Caenorhabditis elegans: one gene and its partners. The protein of the gene in region 1 interacts with the protein of each later gene in a pairwise test. Each region holds a gene or a part of one and is shown on either strand. Other genes may lie near its edges. The genes, in order: mig-5, tac-1, C18B2.5 and C17E7.4.

Region 1 (7,697 bases):
CGAGAATATCTTAAAATGGTGAAAAGGTCATCATCTGCTCACTCAAGATTAATGTCTCAACGTACATTCTCTGTGGAATCCGGATCAATTGACTCATCTGAGCCATCAACTCCACAATTGACATCTCCGCCAGCTGATCATGGAGTTTTTTCGAGTGTTGGGGAGAAAATTAGAAATATTTTCGGAAAGAAGGTATTTTTCCGCAAAATAATTTATTATTTATTACACACGCGAAATTTTGTGAGCTTCGCGCCCAATATGCACCTTTAATGAGTACTGTAATTTCAAACGATAGTTTCTGCGGAATTTTCATCGGGTGTTTATGGTTGTTCGTTAAAAAATATTTTTTATGAATAAAAAAACTACGAAAAAACAATTAAAATACATAACTTTCTAATAATCGATTAAAAATCCATGGAAACCGAAATTTTCAAGTTAGAGTACAGTACTCTTTAAAGGCGCACACCCGTTTGTATCAAAGAAAACAATTTCGTGTCGAGACCGGGTACCGTAATTTCAGCGCAATGATCACAAAATTGCACGTCAGGATAACATTATTACAGTTTTAAAACGTTTCAGCCTCCACTTCATACGAAAAGTCTTTCCGTTGTTCAAACGGATCGAATTGCAGCACCAGCTGTCAGATCTTCATCAATTTCCAACAAACCATTGTCATATCAAACCAGTGGAAATTCAAATGAGGTAAACCTAGATTTATGATCAATTTGAAAGAAAATATTGGTTCTTTCTTTATAGGAGGATCACTTGAGACTTCCACAACACTCATCATCATCGGAATCGCCACCATCTGAAGGTCCATCGAATAGTGGATTGTTCCGATGGTCATCAAAGGATAAACCGATGACCAGTACTGTCAGCACTGCTAATGGTGTCCGTCTCCCTCCACTGAGCCTACGCCGTCGTACTAACAGTGATCCGAAAAATCGCGATTTCACATCACTGGGCGGCGATGAGTAATACAACTAAATGTGGCAAAGCTTCTTCATTGTTTGAATAATGAAAAACGAATACAAACAACTTTGAAATCAAAACATTAAAACTTACAACATTTCGTTCAATAAAGTATCATCAAAAGAAGAAAACAAAAGCTGAACATGAGAATTTGGGATAAGGAGCAGCAGATCGGAATTATGTGAGAAGCACGCGGAAAACAGGGATATATAAACGGGGTAAACGGGAAAATTTAAGCGTGGCAATCATCTCCTCCAAGTGGCTCTTGCTTGTCAAGTTTGATGAGGTCATCAATACGCAATATCGTAATGGCTGCCTCAGTGGCGAACTTCAGAGACTTGACCTTACTAAGAGCTGGCTCCAAAATTCCAGCCTCCTTGTTATCGCGGATCGTGCCTTCTTCGAGATCCAAACCAGCCCTAAAAAAAGAGTGAATAAACTGACTCAAATTCAGAAAACATGAATTAGACGCTTTTTCTAAGCACAAAACGAAATTTTTTGAAATAAATTATTTTAATTTTATTACATTAAGCTAACATGTAATAACCTACTCTTTAAAAAAAACATTTTCACTTACCACTTGAGGTGTTGAAGTTGTGGGATCAATTGAGCTTTGGAGTGGTACGCGCGGAGTTTTGTCACTAAATCAGTAGAATCTCTTGCAGCATTGCTTGCCAAAACCTTCGGAATGATGAGAAGCGCTGAAGCGAATTCAGCAACAGCAAGCTGCTCGCGAGAAGACAAGGTTTGTGCATAAGTTTCAAGGAAAAGACTGAGAGAAGTCTCAACAGCACCTCCTCCAGCCACAAGTTTCTTGCTTTCCAGAACTCTACGAACAACACAGAGTGAGTCGTGAACCGATCTCTCCATTTCATCGAGCATCACATCGTTCGCTCCACGGAGGATAATGCTGCTGGCAGTACGAGATTTCGGTCCCTTGATGAGAATGAGCTCGTCGTCACTAATTCTTTCTTGAACAATTTCATCGGCATGTCCAAGAAGCGAGGCATCGAAAGCTTCATCTCCTTCCAAAGTAGCCAAGGAAACAGTCAATGTGGCTCCAGTAGCTTTGGCAATTCTCTTCAAGTCTGATTTCTTGCATCGACGAACAGCCATAGCTCCAGATTCGACAAATTGCTTCAAGCACAAATCATCGATACCTCCAGTTGTAAGAACAACGTTGGCTCCGGCTTTCAAAATTTTATCAATGCGGCGTTTGGTAATATCGAATTCTCTGAAAATTCCATAGCTTAAAAAGAAACGAATAGTTTCAACTCACTCTCTGCGAATAGCCTCAAGCTTGGCTGGATCTTCAACAACGACTGAAATACCGAGGTGCATCTTAGCCTTCATCAAAGAGAAATCGAGACATGCGATCTTGGCATTTTGAACACGAAGTGGCATGGCCTGACTGGCAACTGTGCAATTGAGTGCATATCCTTTCACCAAAACTGATTCGCGAGCGCTCTTTCCGTGGGCCTTCAGAACATTGACTGCATTGATAGGATAAGTGACTTTCCCGTTATTTTCCACACGAACAGCTTCCGCGGCATCAACAACCAGCTCTCCGAAGAAATCGGCGTCTCTGAAAAATCAATTTTCTTGAAGCATAGACAACACCAAACTCACGGTCCGATAATCTTACTGCTCATGGAAGTTTTGGCAGCGTTGACAACTGATTGTCTACCAATCGAGTCGGAAGTGAATGAGATGTTTTCACTAATGTACTTGACGGCTTCCTTGCACGCGAGACGGTAACCATTGATAATAGTCGTCGGATGAACTTTTTGTTTCACAAGCTCATCGGCTCTCTTCAAGAGCTCAGCCGCCACAATAACGACAGAAGTAGTTCCATCTCCGACCTCCTCGTCTTGCAGCTGTGCAAGTTCTACAAGCACTTTTCCAGCCGGATGCTCAACCTCGAGTTGTTTCAGAATTGTGGCTCCGTCATTTGTGACAATGACATCTCCAACATCATCGACAAGCATTTTATCAAGTCCGACAGGGCCAAGAGATGACTTCACAATATTGGCGATCGCAACTGCCGCGGTGACTGCAATTAATTAATGTATACTTATATTGAGCTTTCGGTGTTACCATTCTGAGATCTGATGCCTTGTCCAGTAGTTCTTTTACCGGTGAGGGCAAGAATGGAATCTCCAGCTGATGCCATTACCTGAAACACAACCGTATTAACTTAGCAATAGAGTAGGACATTCGATATTGAGTCAAAAAGGGGCTTTGAATAAGCACTCAAAAATAAAAATATACGTAAAAATGAAAATATTTCAGTAAAAATAAAAATGCTTCCAGAAAATCGGGGATCCCTTGAATTCTGAATCAAAATTAAAATTCTTGTAGAATATTCTCAGAGCGCATCGTACTTCATGCATGCTAGAAGGGTAATCGTGCCGAGACCCAACACCAGCTGTCACTAGGGCGTATTTGCAACATTGTTCCCACCCGCGATTTATTGCCGATAAATTAAAAATAAAATTGTTTCCGCTAGTCCTTTGCAAACAAATTTGTTTTTTTTGTTTCCTCTTGTAATTTTTATAAATATTTTATTGGTCTATAATTTAAAATATTGAATTCAGATTTCTAACATTTATGGAGCCGCCATGCACATCAGACTGCAGCCAGATAAAAGTAAGAATTTTGATCAGAATTGTTTTTTATTAAGCCAGTGATTAAACAGAAATAATTTTCTTCCAGGTCTTCTACTATCTCGACGATGAAACGACTCCCTATGTTTCTGTTATTGAAGCCAGAGAAGGAGTAGCGACGCTTGGAAATTTCAAAAATTCATTCACCAAGCGTGGATATAAGTATTATGCGAAGGAACTTGACCCGGATATTCAACGGTGAGTTTTGGCTTTTTTAATTTTTGTAATTATTCTGTACTGAAAAATGTTCAGAGAAGTTAAAGTCGAATTAACAACTGATTCGGATCGGCTGCGCAAATCCCAGAATGGATTTTATGAGATTTTTCTCGTTAGCACTCCAGGATATGGAACTCTTCCTCGAAACAGTGGAACAATGACGCGACCACAGAGAACTGCTCTAGATAAGGTTCGATTTCTGTTATTTTCAAAAAAAACTGATATTTTAAGCGCCGCCGACGAAGTGCAGACTTTGACGCGACTCCGTACTCTGATGCTAGTCTTGCTCCGAGCACCATTGTTAGCAGTGAGTTTTTGCTATTTATGTACTCTTAAAAACCTGTATGAACGTTTTTCAGGAAGAGCAGGAGAGCATCTGGCAGAATTATACACTTCAAATTCAGAGGATCCGTATCAATATGACGAGCATACACGTCGAACAGGAGATGATTCTTCGCTCTACGAACCTCTCGCTGCTCGTGATATGAATAAGATATACGATGACGATAGAAGAAGGAAAAAACAAAAGAAAGAAAGATTCAGAAGACCGTATGTTCCAAGTACTATTAGCTCAGCGACGGAATCAAGTGTTAACAGCGGCCTCCCTCGAATTCTGGAAATTTATCTACCAATGAAAAATGTTCCATATCTGGGACTGAGCGTGTGCACAATTGATGGTCATATATTCGTTTCCGAAATTGCACCAGAAGGTGCCGTTGAAAAAGATGGACGTGTGAACGTTGGTGATCAGATTCTTCAAGTTAATAGAGTATCCTTTGAAGAACTCAGTGGGCCTCAAGCAGTTCGTTCGCTCAGAGAAGCTGCATCCTCCAAAAGGTATTTTTCTACGCATTAGCATTAATTTTTTTTAATTTTTAGACCAATTACTCTTTATATCAGTAAGTTTGCAAGAGGTGCCCCAAGTGAATATGATGATCCACTCGCGTCCATGGCGTCTGAAACGATGCCCCTCGACGTTGGAGTTTGGGTAGAAACCGCTGTGTAAGGGTACCTCGCAAGATTTATTTTCTTAATTTGATACTTACAGGCAGAACACTGAAAAAATGAAAGCTCTGGGTTTGGATCCACAGGAGCAAACGGCAACTACAATTGATGACGGAACTCTTCCATTTACATCGACAGCTTCTGATGATGAGGAGCGAATGCTTTACGATCAACGTAGAAATGGAATTCCAAGAGCTTTGATTGAAGAAGCAGAAAGAAAACGAGAAAATGAGCAAAATGAAAAAATAGAGCAACTCACAGAAATGATTGATCCCATTATTGTTGTTCGTTCTATGGCTCGTCCGGATTCAGGATTAGCTGTCAAAAATCGAAAATGGCTGAAAATTTTGGTTCCAATGTCTTTTATTGGTGAGTACTGAACATTCAAGTATTAGGATCCAAACAATCAACGTTTAGGCCGAGATCTAGTCGATTGGCTCGTTGATCACATGGCTGATATTCATAATCGGAAGAAAGCTAGAATCTATGCTGCGAGATTGTTAGCTGCTGGTCTTATCAGACATGTCGTCAGCAAGTTGACATTCACAGAAAAGTGCTACTATGTATTCGGTGATGGAATTCTTGGCAATGATCGTAATTCCACGGACACCACTGGTACGAGTGGAACTACAATGCGAGTTGAAGCAACTACTGAAGTGACGTATGTTGGCTCACCAGCACCACATGCTCTGGCAGCACGAGTTGGAAGAAATATTCCTCATCGATTAGAAACCACTACTCTAAGCCCAGTTGCTCATGACCAAACATGGCTTCGAAGACGTCGAGATTGTGAGAGTCCTATGACAAATGATTACGCATCGATGGTCGGAGAAAGCCAAATTGGAATGAATCCAGTCGGAAATTATCATGTTTTTGGGACGAAAAATAATCACCGTCAGGTACCGGCACCTTCTCAAGTGACATCCTCAAGCTTGACAAACGGTGAGAAAATTAATCGTTTCTATAGGGTGCAGGAGTTAAATTTGAAGCAAATATTCATTTCAATTGATATAGTATTTGCTGTTTCTTGACTACTGTACCCTTTGTATCCAAATGACTTTTCACATAACAGTATTTCCCCAACCAAATTAGTTACAAATTCCAGGAAGTGGTGGCTTAGGAGGCCCTCCGCCGACTCCTCTATCCAGTACTATGGTTCTAGCAGCTTCTCCGATTCAGTCGCAGAACGCAGTCAACCACGATTTCGACGGGGAGAACAGTAGCAACAGCAGAACGCGTATTTTACGGACTTAAAATTTAAAACTCATTGCCTTTACCGATTCTCGCCTTAATTCCCACATGCTTTATTAATATTTAAAACTATGCCCTGTTTTCATGTATTTCAGTAAGACTAACGTTTTCATTCATTCATGTAATTTTGAGTCTATTTATGAATTATTTTAAATTTCTTCATGACGATGTTCACTTCGAAAAACGATGTGTGATGAAGAAGACTTGGACAGCACCGAAGATAGTTTTAGACATCCATTCCGAGTAGTATGCAGTATCCTTCGTAGTATCCCAGGAGCACATGTTGGCCGTGCAAATTGCAAGATTATCGGTTTTTGCAGAAATAGTACAATGAACCAAAAACTTTTTGCTTCCATTGAGCTTCACTAAATTATCCGAAATTGTTTGGATCATCTTGCTCATCCAATCAGACATTTTGAATGGAGAATATGGAGTTTTACCAATTATTGAATCAAATGATTTTTGAATAATTAAATCAATTTCTTGTTCTTCGGCATTTGAATAGACTTTCTTTTTGAGTTTCTTATTTTTCTTTTCAATCAATTGTCTCAAAAGCTGAGCGTTTTTTGATTCAATTTGCCGCTTTGCTACAGAAGAAGTTGTAGAAGTGTCTAAAATTTCAAATGATGTTGCATAATGTGACAAAGAAAACTAACCTGTCATTTTGAAACAAGGAATGAATGAAATAATTAAAGTTATGCGATAAACATTTGTTTTCTAAATTTGATATATATATTAGAATCTGGTATAAATTTTTTTAACAGTGCGTGTAATTAGAACACGCTCTGAAGGCGAAGTGTTTAGTGCCAATTCAAAATATTACTTACAATTAGACCCGAAAATTTTGCGCTTTTTGTGCCAAAAACACGGTACCTGGTCTCGACACGAAACATTGTTTTTAAATGCAAAAAGGTGTGGGCACAGCATCTCCGACCGGGAGCGAAAAAATTAATTTTATTATAAAATGTGTTGTTAAGTTTTTGTTTTGTTTCCGCGGCTCTGTACCAGATTTTACACTAAAAGTGCACCAGTTTGGAGCACCGGACACACAGAAATTGTGTAATGTTGATGGCGTTCCGTATCCGAAATTGACATGTTTGCAGGGGTCGGTTGAGCTAACAAAGGTGGGTGGTGGAAGACGGAAATACGGTTCGAAGGAATAGTGGGGGGAAAGCTGACTGATTAGCTTGCCATCAGTGATTTACGGAAAATGTTCTGCTTCCTACTATGATTTCCTCATAATTTGAAATTTCATTAACTCTTAAATGTTTACTTAAATGTGATGCGAATTACTCAGAAAATGCACAGTTTTGGAAATGTAGCAAGTGACCAAAACATTTACTGAAAAAAACCTTCACCTTTGAAGTTCCTCTAATATCCAAAAAGTCATCATCAGTCCAATAGACAAAAAGTATTTCCGGTCCGTCATGGCAAGTTTGCCTTTCTCATCACAAACACTTTCTCTCATCCTTTAATTGTTTGTAGATGAGCCGGTCATTAACACTTATCCCTCTTATATCTATCATTCAATAAATCTTTTTGTAATATGCGCACCTCAATAATGTCTACAGACTCTTGATCAAGGTT
Region 2 (6,017 bases), 6.6 Mb from region 1:
GCCTACCTAGCTTGGTGCTGGACTAGGACTAGGGCACTGGACTAGGGCACTACGTGGCCGCGAGAATTGGAATTTTCTCGGAAATGTACTTCACGAATGTTTTAAATTCTGAGTGGCCCGACAAGCGCTTAGGCCGGCAAAATACGGCCACCGATGTCTAGCGACTACGACATGAATCTCAATTTCGACTTTTAGGCCATTCAAATACTCGCAAAAAGTCCGGAATGACTTCCAGCTTCTACGAGTTAAAGCTCAAGAACTGGAAATTCTGTCGACAAATCGGATACTCGGAATACGAAGCGACGCGGACCTGAGCACGCTGATCTCATGGCAAAGCGAGCTGTGTCGTGACGATACCGTTGGCTTCGTGCTGGATAAGAACGTCAGCGAGTATCGTGTCAGCTGCGTGTGGACGGGCTCCTCACAGCTTGGACAGTGCCGTGCGGTTCCGCCGAAGTACATGGCGGAAGTGTACAGCTTTATTGAGGAGGACGAGTGGGAAGAGAAGTTGCAGGTGGGGAAAGAGTTTTAGATTTTGAAGGTGGTGTAGTCGAATTTTTTTTTGCTTATTAGACTTGAAATTGTCTAAAAAACGAATTTCATAATTAAAATTCTTGAAAACTTCTCAAAAAAAGTTATGGCGGCTCAAAAAATTACTTAAAATTAGTAAAACTAGAAGTTCGACTTGCCAAACGGTTGGAAACTAACTTTTTTGAAATTACCGTCTAATTTTGGGTGTACAATAATTATCATGCGTTTTCAACTCGGTTTGAAAGGCCAGAAGACCTTAAATGTACCTAAATCGAGTTGAAAACGCAAGTTAATTAACTTATACATCCAAAATTAGACGACCATTTCAAAAAAGTTAGTTTCCAGCCGCTGACAAGTCAAATTTCAAATTTTAACGAATTTTATGTCATTTTTTTTGAGCCGTCATAACTTTTTTTTTTTGAGAAGTTTTCAAGAAGATTCATTAGGAGATTCGGCGTTTTAGACAATTCCAAGTCTAATAAAGCAATTTGTAGAAAATTCGCCTAGTTTAACCAATTTCTCACAGCTTTTCTCATTCAGAAAGTGCGAAACGCCATCGGATGTGACACCTCGGCAGCCGTCAACTTCCAGGAATTTGTAGAAATCAAGCCACCGAAAACGAATGGAGCTCATGGTGCATCGATTAGAAAATCCGGAGGAAAAACGAATACAACCGCAATTCGCTATGTGAAACGTCACAGAACATTGTCCGAATTCGTGATTTGCAATGATCGTTGTGTTCAGGGAGGAATCGGATATTCAGCCTCGTTGGTCATCATTTTGGCGTTGGCAATCTCGTTTTTTAAGAACTGTATTCAGGTCGAATAAATATGAGCTTTTTTTTGCGAAAATCTTTTTTGTTGTTTTTTAATTTTTTTTTTCTAAATTTTTGTCATGATTTTTTATATTTTGAAAACAAAAATAAAAAGGGCTAAACAGAAATATTATTAAATTTTAAATTCCCGCGCAAAGCGAGTGACGTCATTTTCGACATTTTTGCGTTTTTCCGGCTATTTTAATTGATATTTCTCTGTTTTATAACTTGAAACATAATTTGTGGATTTTTCAGACATTCTTTCGTAATGAAATTTGCTGAAAAATTGAAGAAAAATCAATTAAAGTCAGAGAACGCGAAAGTGACGTCACTTTTTTTACTCTGGAATTCAAAAAAAATCAGTTCTTTTGACCTTTTTTTTGGCCTGATTTTGGCTTTTTGGTCTTTTTGGCCTTTTTTGCGTTTTCCGACTGTTTTATCTGGTTTTTCTTTATTTTTCGTTATGTCACAATTTTAAACAAAATTTATAAAATTTTCAGAAATTTTTCCGTAAAAAACTTGTTGAAACTCTAAAATTAGCCTAAAATCGATAATTTAATTTTTGAAAAACGTTTTTTGTGGAAAAATGTCCGAAAAATTGACAAATTATGTTCCAAATTGTAAAAAATGGAAAAAAAATAAAAAAAACAGCCAGAAAACCAAATTCAAAAAATCAAAAAAAAATTAGAAAATTTTTATAAATTTTTTCACTGTTATATTCTGCCATTTAGAGCAAATTTTTAAAATTTTCAAAACTATTACCTTCGCCTTCGCCTGCCTCGCATGCTCAACTTTCGCCAGCTCCTGGCTCTTCACCTCGAAAACTATTTTATTCCGTTTTTCGAGTATATCTCCGGCTAATTCGAACAATTCGACGCCGAGAAGATCGATGAGCTCGCCCTGTAGATCCATATCGGAACGTGTCGAGCACAACATTTGTAGAAGGTTTTGGGATATTGTCTGAAGGAAAATAGGTTAGAAACTTGATTTTTTAGCCGAAAATCAACCTCAAACGTATCTGGAAAATATATAAGCAATGTGTCAGCAATCGGCTGAAAAATGCTCCCAGAGCCCGAGGTAGAAGGCACTTGGGGTAGGGAAAGAGCTTCTGGAGCTTCTGAAAAACCTTCTTGTTCAGCTTCACAATTCGACCATTCTAGAAATTCCGATGGAAATCGAATTTGAATTTCCTGGTGGAAGCTTGCTACCCGTGATGGTGAGGGTGGATCTGAAAAAACATCTGGTAAAAATTTTTTTAATAAAAAAATGGAAAAAAAGCTAACTAACCATCTCCAATTCGTTCGATATAGTTGAGAAGATCCATTTTGTACCTAGTTTGGCAGCTGTAAAATTAGAATTAAAATTAAAATGAAAAACTATATTTTTCAAGAGAGAAGGATGTTCAAACATTGTTCAAAATTTCGCAATTTTTGAAAAATCGATTTTTTTCTGAAGTTTTAAGTTTTAATTACTTTTAATTTCTATTTTGTTTAATTGCCAAATATTTTTGTTTTTTTCTCTGTTTTAAGGTGAAAATTAATAAAAATGAACAAAATAAGGTCCTGGCCGCTTCCCTTCTCTGACCTAGCGCTTTCTAGGCCAACTGCACTTTTATTTGGCGGTTTTTTATGCAAAAGTGTATTATATTAATTTTTTTCGCAATAAAGATGTGTTTTTAATCATTAAAATAGTTTAAAATGAAGAGAAACATTGAAAATTGAAAGATAACAAAAAATGTTTTTAAAAAAATTCTACAGTACTTTTTAAAGGCGCAGTCCAATTTTTGTATTGATTTTCCCGCCACGATTACTCTTGTGGACTCTTTTTTCGTGCTTTTTTTGTTGTTGGTTATGGTTTTTACTGATTTTTTTTGAATTAAAAATTAAAAAATGACTTTTTTAATTAAAAATTTGTTTCAATTATTTTGAAACCCTCTTGTAAAGCCTTGTAAAACAAGAAAATTGAACTACAGAAGTTTTAAAGGCGCATACTAATCTTCAAAACAATTTTCCTACCACGAAAATAAATGATGACGCGGGAAAACTGAAGAATCGTTAATTTTCTCCGTTTTTCACGAAAAATGTCGGTTTTTTCTATTAAATTCATCCGATTTTCAGATGTCGCTCAACACAACCTTCACCAAAGAGGACGGAACCGAGGTCGTCATCCCATTCAACGGGTCGCAAAATGGGCATCCGGAGAACGAGGAGCCAGAGGTTGAAGAAGCCGCGGAGCCCAGTTCTTCAGTGGAGACACTGTGCGGTGCCACGAGAGGCGACATCATTGTGATGAAGCACACGACGAAGGCGCTCACAGAGTTGATCGAGCGGCTCTTGCACTCGGATGGTGAGAAGCTTTGAAAAATTGCTAAAAGAGATTTTAAGAGGAATAAAACCATATTAATTTCAGAATTCGAAGTCCGTCGCTGCTCAAACGGCCAAATCATCTCACAAGGCCGCTGCAACGGAACAACGCCAGGAAACGGCATCGGAGGCGGCGGGGCATCAAGCGAGGAGCTCGAAAAAGCGCTGAAAGATCGAGATGCCGCCCGTGCCGAAGCCGACAAGCTCCACGCCAACTACGCGACACTGTTCGCCTCGTTCAACACGGTTCGCGAAGCCGCCAACGACATCCGCGGCGAGTACGAGGACGCGAGGGACAAGCTGAAGCTCGCCGCCGCCGAAGTTGACGAGTGGCAGGCAAAGTTCCTCGCCGTCAAGGATAATGCGAATTCTGAGCTTGAGAGGTGAGTGAGAGAAAATTTAATTTGCAACATGTAAGAATATATTTCAATTCAGAGCATCCGTGGAGTACGACGATCTTCTCCGATCCCACGATGAGAACACAAAGGGACTCCGTCTGCGTGTAAAACGCCAGGAAATCGAGCTCTCCAGCAAGAACGACGAGATCAAGGTGCTCACGAACCGCGTGTCGGAGCTCTCACAGATTTGCGATCAACTTCTGAATGATGTCGACGTTTCCGATGGGATGTCCGTTATTTCGACGGATGCATAATTTATTTCTGTAAAATATAATATTTCTTCCCCCCGCCTTTTCGCTTTCCGCCTTATATTTTCTAATTGTACATGAATTTTTCAGCTTATTTATTTGTTTTCCAGATTATTTGTATGAGAAACAAGTACAAAAGGCTTCGTTTCAGTATTTTACCGAGAAAAACTACAATCTTCTAAATTTTCGCGCCAAAGATACAGCGCCCGGTCTCGACACGAAAAACATTTGCCAAATGCAAGCATGTGTGCGCCTTTAAAGTGTACTGTAATTTCCAGGCCGAATTTGTTTTGATTTTTTTAGTTCTCACTTGTTTTTCCAAACAATTTATGCGTTGTTACGAGGTTTTTGTAATAAAAGTCAATAAAATTCCTACAGTAATCTTTAAAGGCGCACACCTCTTTTCAGACTGCCGCATGGATTTTGAGCGAATTTTTTGATTAAAATGTATGCAAAACTTTCAAAATTTCTATTAAAATCTTGCAATTTTCCAGATGAAAAAAGTGGAAATTCTGAAAACATCTCGGCCATCATCTGCAGGAGGCGCTGCCCGACCCTCCACAGCGAGCCCAACTCATGGAGCACCGAAAATCGCCATCAAAACACGTCCGGTGGCCGATGACGTGGCGCCTACCGCCGCTACGGTCATCGAGCCATCGCAAAAAGCGATGAAGGAGTCTGTGCGATTTTTGACGGATTTCGGAGAGATTTCCGATGCGATTTCAGTGTGTTTTTTATTTTAATAATTTATTATGGAGACGCAGAAAAATGGCTTCTTGAAATTGGAGACGTGAAAACGCGCTCCACCGAACTATGGGTCTCGTTAGGGTTTGCTCGTAAATTCAAATGCTTCCAAAATTTTAAAAATTAATTTGAAAAATGTTCAAGCATTTTTCGTACTTTTTCTCAATTTTGAAGCATTTTTTGTGTTTTTTCTCAATTTTGAAGCATTTTTTGTCAAATTTCTTAAGTTTTTTGTGCTTCTTGCTAATTTTAAAGCATTTTTCGTATTTTTTGTCAATTTTTTAAGCATTTTTCGTCCCTTTTGACAGTTTTCAAGCATTTATCATTTATAATTTCAACAAAAAATTTCAACACATTAAAAAAACAGAAGACGACGAAAAAAACGAAAAATGCTTGAAAATTGACAAAAAAAATTACAAAAATTGCTTGAAAATGTTAAACAAAAAACACGAAAAATTCTTGAAAATTGACAAAAAATTACAAAAAAATTCTTGAAAATGTAAAAAAAAACACGATAAATGCTTGAAAATTGAAGAAAGAAGCACGAAAACTACTTGAACATTGACACAAAAAAATTACAAAAATTGCTAGAAAATTGAAAAAAACATTACAAAAAATGCTTGAAAATCGACAAAAAAAGGTCGAAAAATCCTTGAAAATTGACAAAAAAATTACGAAAAATAGCTTGAAAAAGTTCAAAAACAAAAAAACGAAAAACTTGAAAATTTTTAAAATTACGGTTTCGCCGCCAAACAACTAACGAGACCCATTATTCGGGGGTGGAGTTGACCGTGGAGCGCATTTGTAATTTTTCCAGGATCTCCTCACATCGAGCCCCAACTTCAACGTTATCTCTGCGATCGGGCCGCAGGGCGCCGGAAAATCCACATTGCTGAGCATGTTGGCAGGGAATAATTCA
Region 3 (9,357 bases), on another chromosome or scaffold:
CGTACATTGTTTTGAAGACTGCCTAACATTGGATGCTCAGCAAACGTGCCAGTGTTCGCCGGCAGCCGCACAAAACCCAGCATATCCAGATAAACTTTGCACGGCAACACAATTGTACCACTGCTTCTTCACAAAACTGTTCCCCGAGGACAGCAACCTCTCAAAAGCCATTGTGGATGCCTGTAAGAAGGAGTGTAAAGCACCGTGTCATGCCTGGAATTACAATAAGCAAGTCAGCTACTCGAGCATTCCAAGTGAAGCCGTAAGTTATATTTATTTCAGATATTTAAAATTAACAAAAGAAAAATTGCAGAGCAAAAAGTTATTACCAAGAGAGGAGTGGGAGAAAATGAAACGAAAAATTATACTTGACATATACTATTCCGAATTGGACTACACAATTATTAAGCACGTCATAGCGATGCCACTCTCAAGCCTTATTGCTCAAATTGGAGGTGAGTTCTTAAAAAATTTGAGTAAATTACATAGTTGTATGATGATTGTATAATGATAAGAATTTGTGAATCCTCTCCTCGATTAAAGTTGCATAATTCAGTAAATTTAAAATTTGAATCGCGGTAGTAGGGACTTTGTCTTAATAAGATTGACATAGTTTATATGACCGAAGTTTTCAAAAACTAACAGTTTTCCAAGAAATGCGTCATTTACAAACAATGCCTGAGGTGTTTAAATGAAAAATAAAGCATAATTAGAATATTAAAAATGTAGAAAATATTTTTTTGTCAACCTCTATATTTACGATAGGTGAAAACTGCAAATTAACAGCTTTATAAAAATTTAAAAATACCAACTGTTAGTTAGTGTATTGCAATATTAAAATTGTCGTTTTCCAGGTCAATTCTCTCTGTTCGCCGGTGGATCCCTCATTTCACTGTGTCAAATTGTCATCTACTCTGTCCGATACGTTATGCACAAGTACGTGTCTTAAATTATCATTTTGTATGACAAAAGCGATAAAACTGATAAGGAGCAATGTACAGGAATTGTTGCTGCCTTGTCTCGTAAACCGTCATATTTAGGGTTTGAAGTAGAGCGAAAAAATCGAAATCAGTTTGATGAATCGAAACCAAATATTTGTGTTCTATCCTACAAAGTAATACCTGATAAAATCTATGTTTGCGTTCAGATTTGCGTTAAATAGAAAGAACTGATCAAAACATTGTTCTCGAATAATATCAATATAAATATCAACGAATAATAATGTTTGTAGGTTCTGCGGGTTGAAAAGCCAACGGCGGAGGTGTCGAGAGACACGAGAAGCCCACGAGGCTCGTCAACGACGCGACATGCGACGACGTCGCAGAAATAGTACGTCACACAGTCGGTCAACACCGAAACCGCACAATGGGAACGGCAACGGCAAGGTGGTAAATGTGGAAATGGTAACGACGCACACATCAGAAACGACGCCTCCCATATGACATGAGGACTGGAGCTGCATGGTGGCAACCATATGAACTGTCTGATGTATGGCTGTTGCGGGCAGCTTCAGGTATAATTTAGTTTTAAATTGAATGGTGGGGTGTGTTTTAAACGTTTGAGATAATTTTTTATACAGAAAAGTTTCCTGATTCATTTTTTCATGTTTTGAAAACATGTTAAAGAATTGTGTAAATTGTGAAGTAGTGCCAAATAGTGGAAGTTTAAAAAACTCAGTTTTCACGTTTTTGTTGCTCCGACTTTAAACTTTTTGAAAATCCAAGTGCAACTTTTTTTTTCAATTTTAAATATTTGCTAAAACTTAGAATTCTTATTTTTGACCCATGTTGGGTATTTTTTTTGGTGCATTTTCTGGTAAAACTCCTATTGGCGTTACTTCAATTTTAATAACTAAAAGACCTGAACAAATTTTATAAAATGTATCTCAAACTGTATAAGCATCTCCCACTGATTGTTTTCTTTTTTCCCGCTAAACTATATAATTTTTGCACAAATCATTTTCCTTACCTCCTTCATGCAATCTACTGTACTGATCTTTTGCCTATCTTGCATTTGCGTTTTGCTCAAAAAATAGGACTGACGGTTCTGGGTATTTTGAACGAATAGACTCAGAATATGCTCAATTGTAACTATTTCGTGTAAAGAATTTTTATGGCGGTTCAAAATTTCAAACAAAATTCAACTAACTTTAGTTAAATTGAAAAATAAAATAAAAAGCCATGAAAATTTTTGAATTTGTTTTTGTTCAGCACATTTTTTCATTTCAGGTCATTTTTACATTATTCGTCATCACCACGGCTTGTTAGTATTCCTTTGAAAAATTTGAAACTGAATTTATTTTCTAATAAAATTATGACCAACGAAAGCAATTGTGAAAATAACTTTTTTCCTATGGAACCGTTTTGTTTTGAAATTATAATTTATTTTAATTGAACTCAAAACTAAAAAAAATCCTGCGTTTTTTTGAAACAAAGTGCTTACTCATTGGGTACCTAAAAATTAAGAACCATGGTCTTAATTTTTTTTGTTGAGTTTTTTTTTTTTAAATAATTGTGTTCTCATGCTAGATTATTAAACACATTTTCTATCAAAAAAAAATGCGCAAATGCAAGGTATCAACTCGGGAGAATCTTATTCATTTTTCAATTGTTTTCGCTTGTATTTTTTTCCAACCTTCCTCCGCTAGACATGTATTTGATGGGTTTCACCTTTTTCTTCCAATTTCAGTTCACGTTTTTTTGTTCAGCATCTCTTTTTTCCCCTCTTTTCAAAAGTATTCAATCTTATGCAATGTTGTTCTCAATAAAAGCAATAATGTGTTCAGTCCTTTACATGCGAGCAAACAGTCCTGAAACTTAACTGGCAGAGAATTGATATGCGTGTGGTTTATCATGTTTTTTCAGGGTTCTATAACTGGAAAGAAACTTATCACAAAGAAGAAATTCCACTCTTTACATTTTCAATTTTTGAAAGAATAATGAAGCTATGTTTTCTTTTCTTTTTTTTTGAACTTTTGAACTTTCAGGTAAAACAAAAAAGTTTTCTTAAATCTATTTTGGATTCAAATCGAGGAATGCCTTGGAAACTGATTTTTTTTTCACTAAAAGATTGTATCTTAAGAACTTTCGTTCCATTTTCTAGTCAAATTAAACTGTAAACTATTATGTCCTTCAATTGGGATGTATTGTAAAATTTGACCCGTTCCAAAATTATGATGGCATCTACTCATTTTTGTAGAAATAAAACCCAACCATCTGCTAGTCTCGGCAAACAACACGCGAACTTTGTTTTTATCCCCTCTCACTCTCAGTTCAGTTCAGCGCTCTCCACCGATTTTTTATTTTGATTTAACTCGTCAATACTCTCGTTCCATTGTTACGGTTGTTAGCTGCATATACAATACGTTTTTGGCGCCTGACGCGAGAAGGTGTAATGCGTGGCACGCATTGATAAGCGACACGGTTTGACAGGAAACTTTTAAGCAGTGCTCTGCCATTTCTGTCTTTGCACTCCATTACACCGTGCAATTTGCCTTTTACCGATCTTTCGTCACGGTCAATCATCTCCGTTTTCAGCCAGGTTTTTCTGTTTCAAATATAATTTCACGGGGAGTACAATAGGAATGGTTTGTCTTTGATGATAGTTGAGCAAAGTTTGCAGAAATAATCATATTTTATATGTAGCATAAGTTTGTTTTGCTATTTTTCTTAATTCTCACTGTTTATCGTTCTCGATTTTTCCATTCCCACAATTTAACAACTCCTATTATTGTGTCTTTTGTACAGACATGTCGCGAAGCACGGCTGTCAGCATCAACTTGGATGACGTCTTTGGCAACCTTCCAGCGTTGACATCTGCCACCAACGTGAAATCTTCCGAGGTAACCAAAAATTTCGCAGAATTTTTGTATTTCCAATAAATTTTGAAAATAATTTCAGTCTGGAAATAGAAGCCGCAAGACAACTGCTTCGAGTGTATCCACTGTGAGAGAGGTTCCGGTAAGAGTTCATTATGGTATAGAGCTCATAATACTTGTAAACTTTTCCAGATTGGAAACGGAATCCGATCACATGCGACATCAACTGTGGTGTCCCATCCACCACATGCAGTATCTGCACCTCCACCACCACCAGTCAATGTCACCCCAATTTCGCATTACTACGATGCAACTCCAGTGAATGACGATTTGATGAACTCGGTAACTATATTTTTAACTGAACCACTTTTCACAACAACGTTTTAAAGGTCTTTTCCGCTGTGACACTGCCAACTGTCAACTTGCACGGAGGACATGACGATGCTCTCCGTCATCTCGACGAAGCTTTGTATGGTGAGGATCACGAGTCCATCGTCAGTGAGCCACCATTTCAAGCTCCAAGCCATGTGAGCTCGTCACATGTTACATCTCATGTTAGCTCGCACAGAAATCAGTATGCAAGCGAACATCACCCACAAAACGCAAGCGTAGTGTCAAACGGATCTGCCAAGGTAAATTTCAATTTTTAGGAACTATTCGGGTAAGTTGGTCCGTTTTAGAGGCATGCCGCTGCACGAACTGGAAGTCTCGTCGTGAACAATGTTTTCAACGATTTGAATATCAATTCTCAAAGCTATGCAAGTTATTTGCATTGTGTTGAAAATAGATTGTTTTGAATTCAAAGTAAGTTCGTAATTTTCAGCACTACGACGCCTACGGATCTGAGCCGCAGCCGGATTATGAAGACGAGAGAAGTGACCACTTCAATCTGAATCATCAATATCCAATCAGAACGGGTGAGTGTCACTTTTCAAGACGGAAATAAAAAAAATTGTAGAAGCATGTAAATAAGTTGCAACGGTCATATTTCTGCTATGAGTCAGTTATTGAGGAGTGAACAGTGGTGTAGGCTTTTGTTATGCACATTGAACATAACTAGTCATACTCTTGTCTGCTCAAAAATGTTTGACTATTTTTATACTCAAGCGGGTCGTAAGTGTATCCGAAATAGTACTAGTTAGTTTTAAAAAAAGTTGCATATAATCAATGTATGTTTAAAAAAGTTATTTTAGCACAACCACACCGTGATCGTTCCAACACCATCGATAGCTCCGCATCGTTTGCTGAAAGCCGTTTCGGACAATTCGATGTTCACGATGAGCATGACCGTTACCATGGTGAAGAAATCAACCTTCATCATGACGAAGTGGCATATGAACGCCCACGTTCTGAGCTCAGCGTGAGAAAATTATCAAAAAAATCTTCATTATCATTAATAAAGTCTTTTTACAGTCACCAGGAAGTGTGTACTCTTCCCATACCCAAGCTTCGTTCCACACTGGTGGAACCCAGAAGCTGAGAAATCTTCAACGCCAAGTTGAAGATGCTCACGCGAAAAAAGCTCAGCTCTCTCATCAAGTTGACCGTCAACGCGCTGACAATGACCGCATGACTCATGCTAATTTGGCTCGTGAAGCTTCATTGAAGGTCAACAAAATTGGACAAGGTGCGAAGCCACAAGGCTACCACGTTCGCTCGTACAGCCATGAGCACGATCATCATCATTTGCCGCCACAGCCGAAATCCAGCCATTCTTCAAGTAAGTTTTAGAGAATTTAATTAGACTTATAAACACGGTCTTAACAAACACTCAAACTTGCCAAAATAACAAGATAATCAGGCTTCATTTTTCTGAGGTCGAAGTGAGTGTACCGTAGGAGTACTGCAGGAGTACGGTAGGATTACTGTAGTTTTCGTAAAATTTGATATAGAGCTTTTGAAGAGGTTGCGGTTTGCTGACATAACCGTGATAGTTTTTTTTTTTTTGAAAGTGTAAAATTGTTTCAAATCTTTCAAAAATGTTAGAAGCTTTACAAAAGTTTGAGGCTTTCCAAAACACTTCCGAAAAGATCACAATGCTCTAGAGGAACTTGTGTAGTATACCATACCCAAAACTATTATCCAATACGCTTTCAGTCGTTTCTTTCAAAAATGATAATATAATCAAAACTTGAACTACATTTGCATTTTTAAGCTCAGGAAACACTAATCCCATGCCTAATGTAGATTTAAAAAAATCACGAACATTTTTAAAATGGTTAAAACTTTCGGGCCAGGTGTACTGCACACACTCTACAAAAGTGTATAAATTATTTAAAAGAAAAAAAACCATGCACCTGCAAAAATGTGTGGCAGTTTTCAATTTTCTGTTTGTTCAATTTTCTGAGTACAATCAACGTTTTCTGTGCGAACTTCTATGTAAAACATATTATTTAAATTTTCTATTGCGTATATCGAATATTTAAGAGAGCGTGGACTCAAGCATCTACGAAGAGGAGGAAGCTCGTGTCAGCCCACTAGCTGCTAAACAAAAGGCAGCAGGAGAACATGTAAGTCATTTATTTTTCATATGAAAATTATTTTAATATTCTTAAAAATTATTAGATTGCAAGCAGCGGAAAATACGAGCTCGTTGTTCCACAATACTATGTTGTTGAAAACTTCTCCAAGAATGACAAGATCAACAAGGTTATCATTGGAGGAGATGCTCCACCAAGTGACGATGACAAGACTCTGCTCCTGTTCGGTCCAGTTAATTCTGGAAAGACTTCTGCTATTACCAGCATGATGAACTATTTGTATGATGTTAAGAAGGAGAATGATTTCCGGTAACTTAATTTTTTAATTTTCAATGTTATAATGTTCATTATTCTTCTTTTTTCAGATTTGTTTTGGACGAGCATGTGAACGCAACCACTGGACTCACCGCCTACGTTTTCAACAACACTGTTCTTCCTTATAACGTCACTGTTGTTGACACACCCGGGGTTGAGGACAAAATGGGCAACAAGACGGTCTCGCGACTTATCAAGCAGTGGTTTGAGAAGGTGAACTATTGAAACTTTGCAAAAAATTCTAAATTTCACGTTTTAGGAGCTTCTCAAATCTGGATCCTTCCGTCTTGATGCAATCTCAATTGTTTTGAGACACGACGAGAATCAACTGGGATGGCCGTTCATTTATGAGTTGGCTGATGTTAAGAGAATGTTCGGAGACGATTTGAAAACAAACGTTCTGCCGATTATCACCAACTCTGAAGTTCTCCCACAGCCAATTGCCATCAAAAGTCTCACACAGGCCAACATTTCTTTCCTTGAATACTACAAAGTTAACAACTCGGGATTCGCACCACTCCCAACAGGAATTTCCAAACTTCAACATAATCTCTACTGGACACACGGAACAGCTTCGTTGGAGAATCTTTTCAGAGTAAATATTATGGGTTGGGGAAGTGAAATTTAAAACTGAAAATACTAGGTGTCTCAGTCTGCGTATTTAACTCGGTTTAGTTGAAAATAACTGAAAATAGTACACTTTATTTGAAAAGTAATTTTGGCTTTCAAAAATCATCTTTCAAAAATCATCACATGAAAGCAAAGAACATAAGTATAAATTGAGGCGTCTCAAGATTATTTTTCAACCCGTCCGGGATCAAATTCAATTCAAACTTATATTGAAAAACGTATGCAGAAAAAACTGTATCTGATGAAACTTTAACATATTTTGAACTCCAACTTCAGCATAATTTTAATTTATTTCATATGTATGGGAAGGCTTTCAAATATTCAAAATAGAAAACTTTCCATGAAAACTATTCCGGTTTTTATAGTAATTATGACATAAAATTTTTCAAATGTGCTTATGAACATTTAAATAATTTTTTTAAACATATTTATATATTTTTGTTTTCGGTTTAGTTCTAAGCTTTTTTCATATCAAGTTTTTAACTCATATTAACTCACTTTTCAAAATTGTATTAATAATGTTCGAATGTGAGAGATGATATTAATTTTTGCGGTTTTGATAGGTCAGCTTATTATCTATGCTTCTGAAACTACCTTATTAAATCTTTCACTTCAGGATTTGCAAGAAACTGTCCACCCACTAGTTGCCATCCTCCGACACAACAAGGGACAAAAAGTCGAACAAGCTCCAGTGTTTGCTGATAAAGTGTTGTATTAAAAAACAATTTATTATTATTAGTATTATTATTTGTGTTTTCTGATTCAATGGTTTCAATTTAATCTCCGATCCACTCATTTTGTATTTATTGTTCGACTTAACATTTTTATCCAACGCGACTCGATAAACATTCCCTATCAATCGTTTTTTTTGTTTTTCAGCTTCATTTCTTTTCGCTAAGGAACTAATATAATTTTTGGCAGAATAATATTGTTCATTGATATTTAAATCAAAAATACAAATAATATTATAGGAAATTCTAGAAATTTCGACATATCAGTTAAGAGGAACGCTATTACAAGTGTCAAGTTTTACAAATATGATTACCTAGTGTATAAAACGAATTTCAGGAAATTTTAATTTTCAAAGTGTACAGAGAAAGCCTAGATTGATAGATACTATCACTTTCAAAAGTTCCTTAAAATTCAAAGCAAATGATGATACTCATTTTAAAGTGAATTAAAATTGTGAACATAACATTCGAACTTTTTGGAGCTTAGGCCGGATAATAATGTGTTGAACTATACAGAAACAAAAAAGAAACATTTGAATACTTTGGAGTACATCTACTTTAAAAACCAGAAAAGTTTCAAATGAATTCACCAAATTTTTAAGAGTCTTTCAAATTAACATAATAAATGTTCTCTTATTTATTTATTTTAACTTTCACCACAAATTGTTCAACAAATTAATACAACTACTTGTTTTTTTTCCAGAAATGTTTAAATACACGACCAAAATCGACTCAAAATTTTCCAAAAGTAGCTCGTTGCCTAATTACCTTTATTTCCCGGCAATTCTGCCCTTATAATAATAAACCTTCATATTCATGATTAATGGCATCGATACTCCCCTCTCTATCTAATGGCAAACACTATTTGTCTTTCGCCACTCACCACTCACTAGAGAGCCATGACTTGTGAGAGACGCAGAAAACAAGGCAATGGAAAACGCGCTCCATTGCGGGTCTCGGGGTCGTGAGTCAGTGTTGGCTACCCTCGCCGTATGAAAACGTTGCCATCACGCCATTCCATGCCGTTTTTCGTCGATTTCGTGTATTTCGCAATTCCCGATCTGCTCATTAATTCCATTTTCCTCCTTAAAAAGCAGTATTTTTGATTTTTTTTTGTTCTTCAGCAGCACCATGTCGCTCAACACGTCGCACACACCCGATGGCCAAGGCATTTTGATTTATAATGGAGAAATGTAAGTTTTTTAAATTCTTTCTCAAAACTGATTCTTTTCAAATTATGAAATAAGTTTTTATAATTTCAGGATTCTTCTCTACACAACAAATGTAAAGCTGAAGTTCGAGAAGTACAATGTTCCTGCGTTCAAGTCCACCAAGTCGGGAGCCCTCTATCTCACTTCACACAGAGTGAGTTTTAAAGTTTTTG
Region 4 (6,843 bases), on another chromosome or scaffold:
AGTACACACGCAAACTGATAAGAAGGTGAGTGAGAGAGAGAGAGAGAAATAACACATACATAAATATAAATACACACAAATTGATAAGTACTAGTTTCAGCGAACGATTGGCTTGCAGCCGCGATTGAGCACGACTCTTCCCTCATTTTCTCGTGGGCCTCTGAATACGGTTGTAGTGACCTGAGTTCCGTCCGCAAGGCCTTCATGAACGTTCTCGCGAGCCAAGTTTTGCATTCCAAACTGCCTTGAATCTTCCGTTTTTTTCAGTACCAGAATTTCAGAGTTCCACCTAAAATTTGAAATGTTGGTTTCATATATGTATTGAATCAAAATACTCACAGTGAGCAAGTCATGACGCAGAAAGCAATGGCAAAAGTAACAATGATCCAAATGATAAGGAGCATCTTGCCAAGATCGCACGCTAAAAAATTATTATTTTCTAAAGTATTGAGGAAAATAAATTCTTCACTAACTTGGAACTCCAAATTGGCAAACCAACACGGGAGCATAGAAGAATTCGCTAATTGCCACCAAAGTCGGGAAACCAGTCGTCGGATATGGCCAGGTTTTGCAGAATTTGCTGACCTCGCTGTCCGACGGCTCGTTGATGAAAATTCGAATACGCGAGAAGCCATACGGCTCTTTCTGAAATTGGAAACACAGTTTTATCAAGCTGAACAGTTAGGCGGTACCTTTCGAATCCAAATCGGGTCCCAGTCTCTGTACTTCTCCTCCTCTTGCAGAACAACCATCTCGACGATGACCTGCGAATTTTCACCTCGGTTCTCCGCTCGCAGCATCTCATTGAGCGCACTGCCTCTGAAAAATGTGTGTGTGCTGTTGATCAAGACTCTAGGCAAACTTTGGAACACCTACGCCAGACAATTATCTCTCCGTGTGGAGTACACGATTTTCCCACGCGTTGTCCGGCAGGCGATTGTCAATGGAGCGCGGAAAATTCAGTGAGGAAGGCTAGAAACCCGTGACTTGAAATAAAAAATTTTCCTTGGGACAATCTCACTTTTAGGGTTATGTTCTAGAGGTAATGCCAAAATAAGAACCCCAAATGATTTGATGGCCCGACATCTACCGGGTTCTGCTCCGCACTAAGATTACCTCGTAGTGAGCTGGGAACCCGTCAGATGTCAGCCCATGATATTAATTGGAGTCCTAATTTTGAAATTACCCCAGGAAATGACCTATAAGTTGGTAAACCTTTTTAGACCTTTAGCCAAGAAGGTCTACTGAAACCTGACCTAGTCAAAATTTTGAAAAATTCAATTTTGAATGTAATTTTCTAGAGGTAATGTCAAAATAAGGACCTCAAATAATATGGTAGCCTGACGATCATGGATTAATTCAAAACCCAACTCACTGTTCAAAAAGAGCCTGTCGAACTGGACCAAGAAGCTCGCCTGCTTCCTCGGCCTTTTTCTTTGTTCGGCACCAGAAGAACTCAGCGATGTGACCGTACACATGATCCGAATGCCAGAATGTTGGTTTCGCCTCCTGTTGAGTAACCTTCGAAGTAGCGATGGGGAGCAGGAACAGACTGAGCCACACGAGCCAGCGCATCTAAAAATTGATATGAAAACAATAAGAAAATTGGTCATAGATCATAGGTATGTTCCAGATCAAACTGTCGTTGGTTAAAATTAATGAAAAATGGAATCGCAAATTTCAAAAATCAATCAAATTTACATCATACACAACTTAAGAAGTATTTGTGAACAAAGAATTTTGAGATCAAGATTATATTTCAAGATTAGAATTCAAAAAAAGTGACAATTAGAAATTTTGCATCTCAATAGGCATGTCCTGTGGCGACATGCTGGCTTCTCGCTCTCTTCGCATGTTCTCGTGAATCTGTCGGTTTTCAGCTCCCTGACGTTTGGACTCCTCGATGGCGGCTTGGCGTTTTCGGTAGAAATGACTGAAAATTAATTTTACATTACATGCTTTCAATGGGATTTCTAGAATAAATAGAAACCTCTTTTTACGGTAGTGTGACGTCATGGAAGAACTTTCCAGTGTGACGTCACACTTATGAGAAAAAATATTTCACGTGTTTCGGGGGTTTAAGATTTTTAGATTTTTTCAGTGCCCGTGAAGTCAAAATTTGATTTATGCACCACTGCGCTATTTTTTAGTAATCTCTCTATTACGAAACCACGAGATCATGAGAATGCCTACTTTTCTGACGGCAAATATCTCGTAGCGAAGGGACCTGCGTCTCTCTTTGCCACACGCTCTCTCGCTGCTGCGGCCTGCCAATATTTTCGGGCCAGTCAATAGGCATTCTCATGATCTCATAGTTTCGTAATATGTTGCCACCACGTGGTGTCAGAGTGTCCCATCTCGGTTTGATCTACGTTGATCTACAAAAAATGCGGGAGAAGAGACGCAGACTTCTCAACTGATTTCGTATGGTTAAGATCAGGCTGACGTCACATTTTTTTGGCCGGAAACTTCCCGCATTTTTTGTTGATCAAACCGTGATTGGGCAACCTGGCACCACGTGCTGCACCCTTCCATGTCCCCTTGTCGTTCAACTTTCTCATTAGCGCGCGATTACACCGGTAGGAAAACAAAGAAACTTACTATCCCAGACAGGAGAAGGAGACGGCAGCAACGAGAAGTGTGATTCCGGCAGCTGGTCCAAACGTGGGGAGCACAAATTTCCAGTCCTCCTCGTTTTTGATGTTTAGAACATTATCCATTTTTGCTGCAAAAAAAATTTGTTTGAATGAAATGAGGGGTAGAAAACAAACAAAATACGGAGAAAAATTGACACCACTTTTTGGTCACATTGTTTGAAATTTCAAATATACGTATTATAAAAATTATAGGATTTAACACAAGAGGAGTACTTCTCAAGTTTAGGTACTTATCCTTAGATTCTCAGAATCATGTATTTCGGCTCAAGTTTGTTTTTTTACTCCTAATGATTTTAATGAGTTGAGAAACTATTTTGCAAATCTAGAAAGTCTCTAACTCAAAAAAAAGTTGAAGAGTGGCACCAGACGCAAGCTAAAATTGAGAAAATCGAGATAATTTTTCAAACTTTCAAAAAAAGATTTCAAGATTTCAAGATTTCAAAAAAAAAAACTGAGCAAAAAGTGTTGTCTATTCACGTGGCAATAAAAAACCGCAACAGAGGAGTACAACAGAAAAGAAACAAAGAAAATGATTACAAAACCTGAGCGCCCGCGTTGTGGGTCAAATAGTCCCTCCTTCGCGCGCGCAAAAACACAAACATGGGACCTCCCTCCTCCTCCTCCTCCGCGCGACTGCGGTTCTGTTCATGTGCGCGTCACGGTGTATGCAGAATTCTGACCTTTTCAGTGGTAGGCGGGAAATGAGAAGATGAGGGAAGAGGAGAGCCCAGTTGTTTTCGTCTTTCTCCCGCAAAGGATGACCTAGTTTTGGACGGATCGATTTTTTTTTTGAAACAGTTTTTCTTTTTGAATTTTAAACTCTCACAGCTACTCTTCTTCCCGTTTAAAAAATAAGAATGTATTTTAATTTCCTAAGCTTATCTCCACAAAAAGCAATGAAAAGATTTTTAGAAAATGGCTGGACTATTTCGAACAATTTTCAAGGGCAAAAAGTCCCGAAAGGAAAACGAAAACGACGACGATTACACAGTGGTTTGTACCTTTTATCGAATATTATTTCAATCGATTCCCCCCGGTTTCAGTTCAATCCGTGCGTACGCTCAATGTCGCTGAAACGTCAGCCAACCGCCCGTTTTGCCGATGATTGTATGCTCCCACCGACTGCCGCCTATCACACGACAAGTGCACCGAAACTTCGCAAAGGGCCTCAAAGCTGTCCGGGCGGCCGTGATGACTTCAATGCTGCTGCCTACAGTAGATCCAACAAGTTGCCCAGGACCTTCCCACTTGGAGCTTCAAGCTCGAGCCGGCAAGATTTCCAAATTGATGACTTTGAGCGAGGATCTAGAAATCATAAAATTCGGGAATCCTCATCAATGGAGTTTGCAAAAAGAGATCAAAAAGAAGGTGATGATGAGGATAATGAAGCGATGCTCGAACGAAAAAGCCGGTACTACATGCAAAAATGGGAGAATTCGGAAAAACAACGGCGTGAGGAGAGGCGAAAGCAGGAACGGTATGAACAGGAGAGAGAAAGCATTCAAAGCGTGATGTCCAATATGGCCTATTGTATGGCGTCGGCTCAACAACTGGAGCAGTTGAAAAAGGAACGAGACCAGTACAAGAAGGAGATGAGACGGTATAAGGCAAAATGTGAGCAATTGGAGAGCAAGTGCGAGCAACTACAGACCATGTCTCCGAGCTATGGCGCATTTCAGGTAGAGTTTCGGGGCCTTCATTTTTTCGCCTACCATATATGCTCCAAGTTCTTTGCAAAATTTTAAGTTGTAATTCTTCTCGGGTAAAGGTAATTCAACGATTTATTTCCCTGCACCCTGCTCCATCACGTTAATTTCAAATATCCTTCTAGGCCTGCACCATCCATCTCTAAAGGTCCTCGCCACTCCCAATTTTCCCATTAGGGCACGATTGCATTTTCAGAAAATACGGTGTCCTAGACACTAGAGATCGGAACCTTTTCTGGGTGGTGGTTCCCCTGGTATTTAGCTTTAGCTGAGTTTAAGCCGAAGACTGTAGAAACCAACAATGAATTGTTCTACTTCTCAATCTGGGTGAGCCTATTGGGAGGAAGGGCTTGAACTCGTGACCTCTAGATTGCTAGCGGCCACCAATATTATTAAATTATCAAAAAACATATTTTCAGTCTATGCAAAATCTCCAAAATCCAATGCTGCCATCTCCATTCCAAACTCCACAATTTCCTGCTCCACGAAGCTTCGCCTATCCCAACCCGCCACTTCCATTTCATCGTTCCATGGATTTTCTCAATAGTGGACCGCCAAGCTACCTGTACAATGAGAACCTATCTTCGCTGTGCAGCAGCTCGATGAGCCACACGCCGACGACAAACGGGAGCGATGGCGCCGGCGAATCACTTGTTAATCCGTCGGACGTCAGTTTTCTCAAGAACTTTTCTAATGGTAGGTTCTGATAAATTGTTTCTAAACATTCTATCATTTTTTCAGGTCCCACAAATTCCTACGACAATGATGACGAGGACGAGGTCAAAAACTATCGTCAAGAGCAGGACTATTTTGTTTCAAGCCCACAGGCTTCCAATACTAACTAACTATTTATTAATTAATGTATATCTTTGTATTTTGTCAATTCTATTTTTTTCAATTTTAATAAACCGCTAGTAAGTCCTGAAAGAACGATGAATCAAAAAATCGAACAACTCTCAATTTATAGGGATTAGATTTTTTTTTCTCGTCCTATTCTTCACGCTCCCTCCTCATTTCGTTCTGTCCTCAATGGATAACAAGTCCATTAGAATACAATTCATGTTATATTCGATTTTATGCTTTTCGCGCCGATTTCACAGAAAGCGAATATATTGAGAGATATTGTTTTTGCCGCCGGGCACCGTCACTAGGGACACAATTCGTGTGGGTCGTCTTCGATAATTTCCGCTTTTCGTATTTATGTATATCGGCCAAACATTGCCTAACTCGCCTAACTACATTTACTTTTACTATATTTTTTATTCAGTTTTACCTCGCTTTTGTTAGAAATTGCTCATAAAAATTCCAGAGATGCTCGGATACTTTAACAGAACCCATGCTGCTCAGGTCGGAAGCTGGGATACTTTCCAGGGGTTTTTGATATTTGAAGTTTTGCTTATTATTGTTAGGTATGAGTTTCCGCGTTATACTGTCGCGACAGAACGATCGCTCCGCCAATTTTGCATGCGGCAAAGGGGCGTGGTTTATTGGGGGCGGGATTCCGGCGCAACCCTGCGGCACGTTTTTTTCGTGCGGTAATTTTCAGTTATTTTTATTCGTTTTCTGTTCGAAATTTCACGATTTCGCTCGATTTTGTTCGTTTTTTCGGATAAAAAAGTGTTCAACTATTTTTTAAATGAAAAATAACCAAGTTTTATCAGTTTTTACTTGAAAAAATGCTTCGTTTGTCTCTTTTTCTGTAATATACGATGCAAAACGTTAAAAAAAAACGTTTTCTCTTCACATTTTCCTTTTTTTCCCCCCATTTTCTCTCTTAACAATCGTAATTTACAAAAAAAGAGACAAACAAAGCATTTTTCGGGTAAAATCTGTGAAAACTTGGTTATTTTTCATTTAAAAAATAGTTGAACACTTTTTTATGCGAAAAAACGAACAAAATCGAGCGAAATCGTGAAATTTCGAACAGAAAACGAAAAAAAATAGCTGAAAATTACCGCACGAAAAAAGCGAGAAAAAAGCGTGCCGCAGGGTTGCGCCGGAATCCCGTCCCCAATAAACCACGCCCCTTTGCCGCATGCAAAATTGGCGGAGCGATCGTTCTGTCGCGACTGTATTTTCTTTTGTTCAATTACAAATTTTCAGTTTTCTTTCCATAAGCTTCTGGTTCTTAGTGATACTCACCGCAAAAAACATGCATCCAAATTTTCGAATTATCAACGCTTTCTATTACGGACAATACTTGATTCAACTAAGCTTTTGGGTAATTCAGCCATTCATCATTTTGAGGGAAGGTTTGGACGGTGAGTCACATTGCATGAACATCATTTGCTTTGATCTAGGTAGGAGTAGTAGACAAGTTTAAGGGCTTGACGCCTGCCTAAAACCTGTCGCCTGCCTAAAAACTTAAGGTTAAGCAGAAAGGCGTTTTGGTGCCTATATATAAAAGCACGACCTAAATCTAAATGCTTCTTATACTATTTTCTATAAACATTCTGTTTTTTTTCTTGGTTTATGTTTAC

The links.
Region 2: the proteins of mig-5 (region 1) and tac-1 interact in binary tests that used the Caenorhabditis elegans proteins (3 or more experiments, as listed by UniProt).
Region 3: the proteins of mig-5 (region 1) and C18B2.5 interact in a two-hybrid assay, tested with the Caenorhabditis elegans proteins (2 studies listed by BioGRID).
Region 4: the proteins of mig-5 (region 1) and C17E7.4 interact in a two-hybrid assay, tested with the Caenorhabditis elegans proteins (3 studies listed by BioGRID).

Annotation. Positions count from the first base shown.
Region 1 is NC_003280.10:8,180,894-8,188,590, reverse strand, and holds mig-5 (Segment polarity protein dishevelled homolog mig-5), read left to right. Parts: upstream 1-3,567; 5' UTR 3,568-3,582; coding exon 3,583-3,621; intron 3,622-3,687; coding exon 3,688-3,836; intron 3,837-3,890; coding exon 3,891-4,044; intron 4,045-4,085; coding exon 4,086-4,161; intron 4,162-4,213; coding exon 4,214-4,691; intron 4,692-4,733; coding exon 4,734-4,856; intron 4,857-4,902; coding exon 4,903-5,228; intron 5,229-5,276; coding exon 5,277-5,801; intron 5,802-5,951; coding exon of another isoform or gene 5,952-5,964; coding exon 5,965-6,113; 3' UTR 6,114-6,268; downstream 6,269-7,697. Other genes in the region: T05C12.8 (ANK_REP_REGION domain-containing protein), read left to right, coding at 1-192, 580-702, 757-978; cct-1 (T-complex protein 1 subunit alpha), read right to left, coding at 1,205-1,391, 1,550-2,206, 2,252-2,557, 2,602-3,025, 3,070-3,145; dylt-3 (DYnein Light chain (Tctex type)), read right to left, coding at 6,282-6,721, 6,767-6,773. UniProt on the Caenorhabditis elegans protein: Plays a role in the signal transduction pathways mediated by multiple Wnt genes. Functions redundantly with other dishevelled family members throughout development.
Region 2 is NC_003280.10:14,751,321-14,757,337, reverse strand, and holds tac-1 (Transforming acid coiled-coil-containing protein 1), read left to right. Parts: upstream 1-3,460; 5' UTR 3,461-3,462; coding exon 3,463-3,691; intron 3,692-3,754; coding exon 3,755-4,091; intron 4,092-4,143; coding exon 4,144-4,360; 3' UTR 4,361-4,447; downstream 4,448-6,017. Other genes in the region: Y54E2A.5 (uncharacterized protein), read left to right, coding at 196-514, 1,072-1,359; Y54E2A.4 (Activating signal cointegrator 1 complex subunit 3), read right to left, coding at 2,108-2,305, 2,353-2,573, 2,633-2,669; smg-9 (Nonsense-mediated mRNA decay factor SMG9), read left to right, coding at 4,849-5,079, 5,916-6,017. UniProt on the Caenorhabditis elegans protein: Involved in microtubule formation, polymerization and assembly, regulating microtubule nucleation and length. Plays a role in pronuclear migration and mitotic and meiotic spindle elongation during early embryogenesis.
Region 3 is NC_003284.9:3,605,482-3,614,838, reverse strand, and holds C18B2.5 (G domain-containing protein), read left to right. Parts: upstream 1-3,746; 5' UTR 3,747-3,748; coding exon 3,749-3,841; intron 3,842-3,899; coding exon 3,900-3,959; intron 3,960-4,009; coding exon 4,010-4,159; intron 4,160-4,206; coding exon 4,207-4,449; intron 4,450-4,497; coding exon 4,498-4,575; intron 4,576-4,640; coding exon 4,641-4,734; intron 4,735-5,010; coding exon 5,011-5,177; intron 5,178-5,230; coding exon 5,231-5,537; intron 5,538-6,244; coding exon 6,245-6,327; intron 6,328-6,382; coding exon 6,383-6,606; intron 6,607-6,662; coding exon 6,663-6,825; intron 6,826-6,871; coding exon 6,872-7,207; intron 7,208-7,858; coding exon 7,859-7,960; downstream 7,961-9,357. Other genes in the region: del-9 (DEgenerin Like), read left to right, coding at 1-262, 314-455, 855-936, 1,232-1,442; C18B2.4 (GRAM domain-containing protein), read left to right, coding at 9,105-9,166, 9,236-9,338.
Region 4 is NC_003283.11:3,889,287-3,896,129, forward strand, and holds C17E7.4 (BZIP domain-containing protein), read left to right. Parts: upstream 1-3,567; 5' UTR 3,568-3,572; coding exon 3,573-3,650; intron 3,651-3,700; coding exon 3,701-4,336; intron 4,337-4,782; coding exon 4,783-5,059; intron 5,060-5,104; coding exon 5,105-5,208; 3' UTR 5,209-5,287; downstream 5,288-6,843. Other genes in the region: C17E7.9 (uncharacterized protein), read right to left, coding at 97-289, 340-421, 474-645, 693-819, 877-960, 1,376-1,575; C17E7.12 (uncharacterized protein), read right to left, coding at 1,789-1,933, 2,602-2,720; sre-9 (Serpentine Receptor, class E (Epsilon)), read left to right, coding at 5,675-5,772, 6,467-6,624.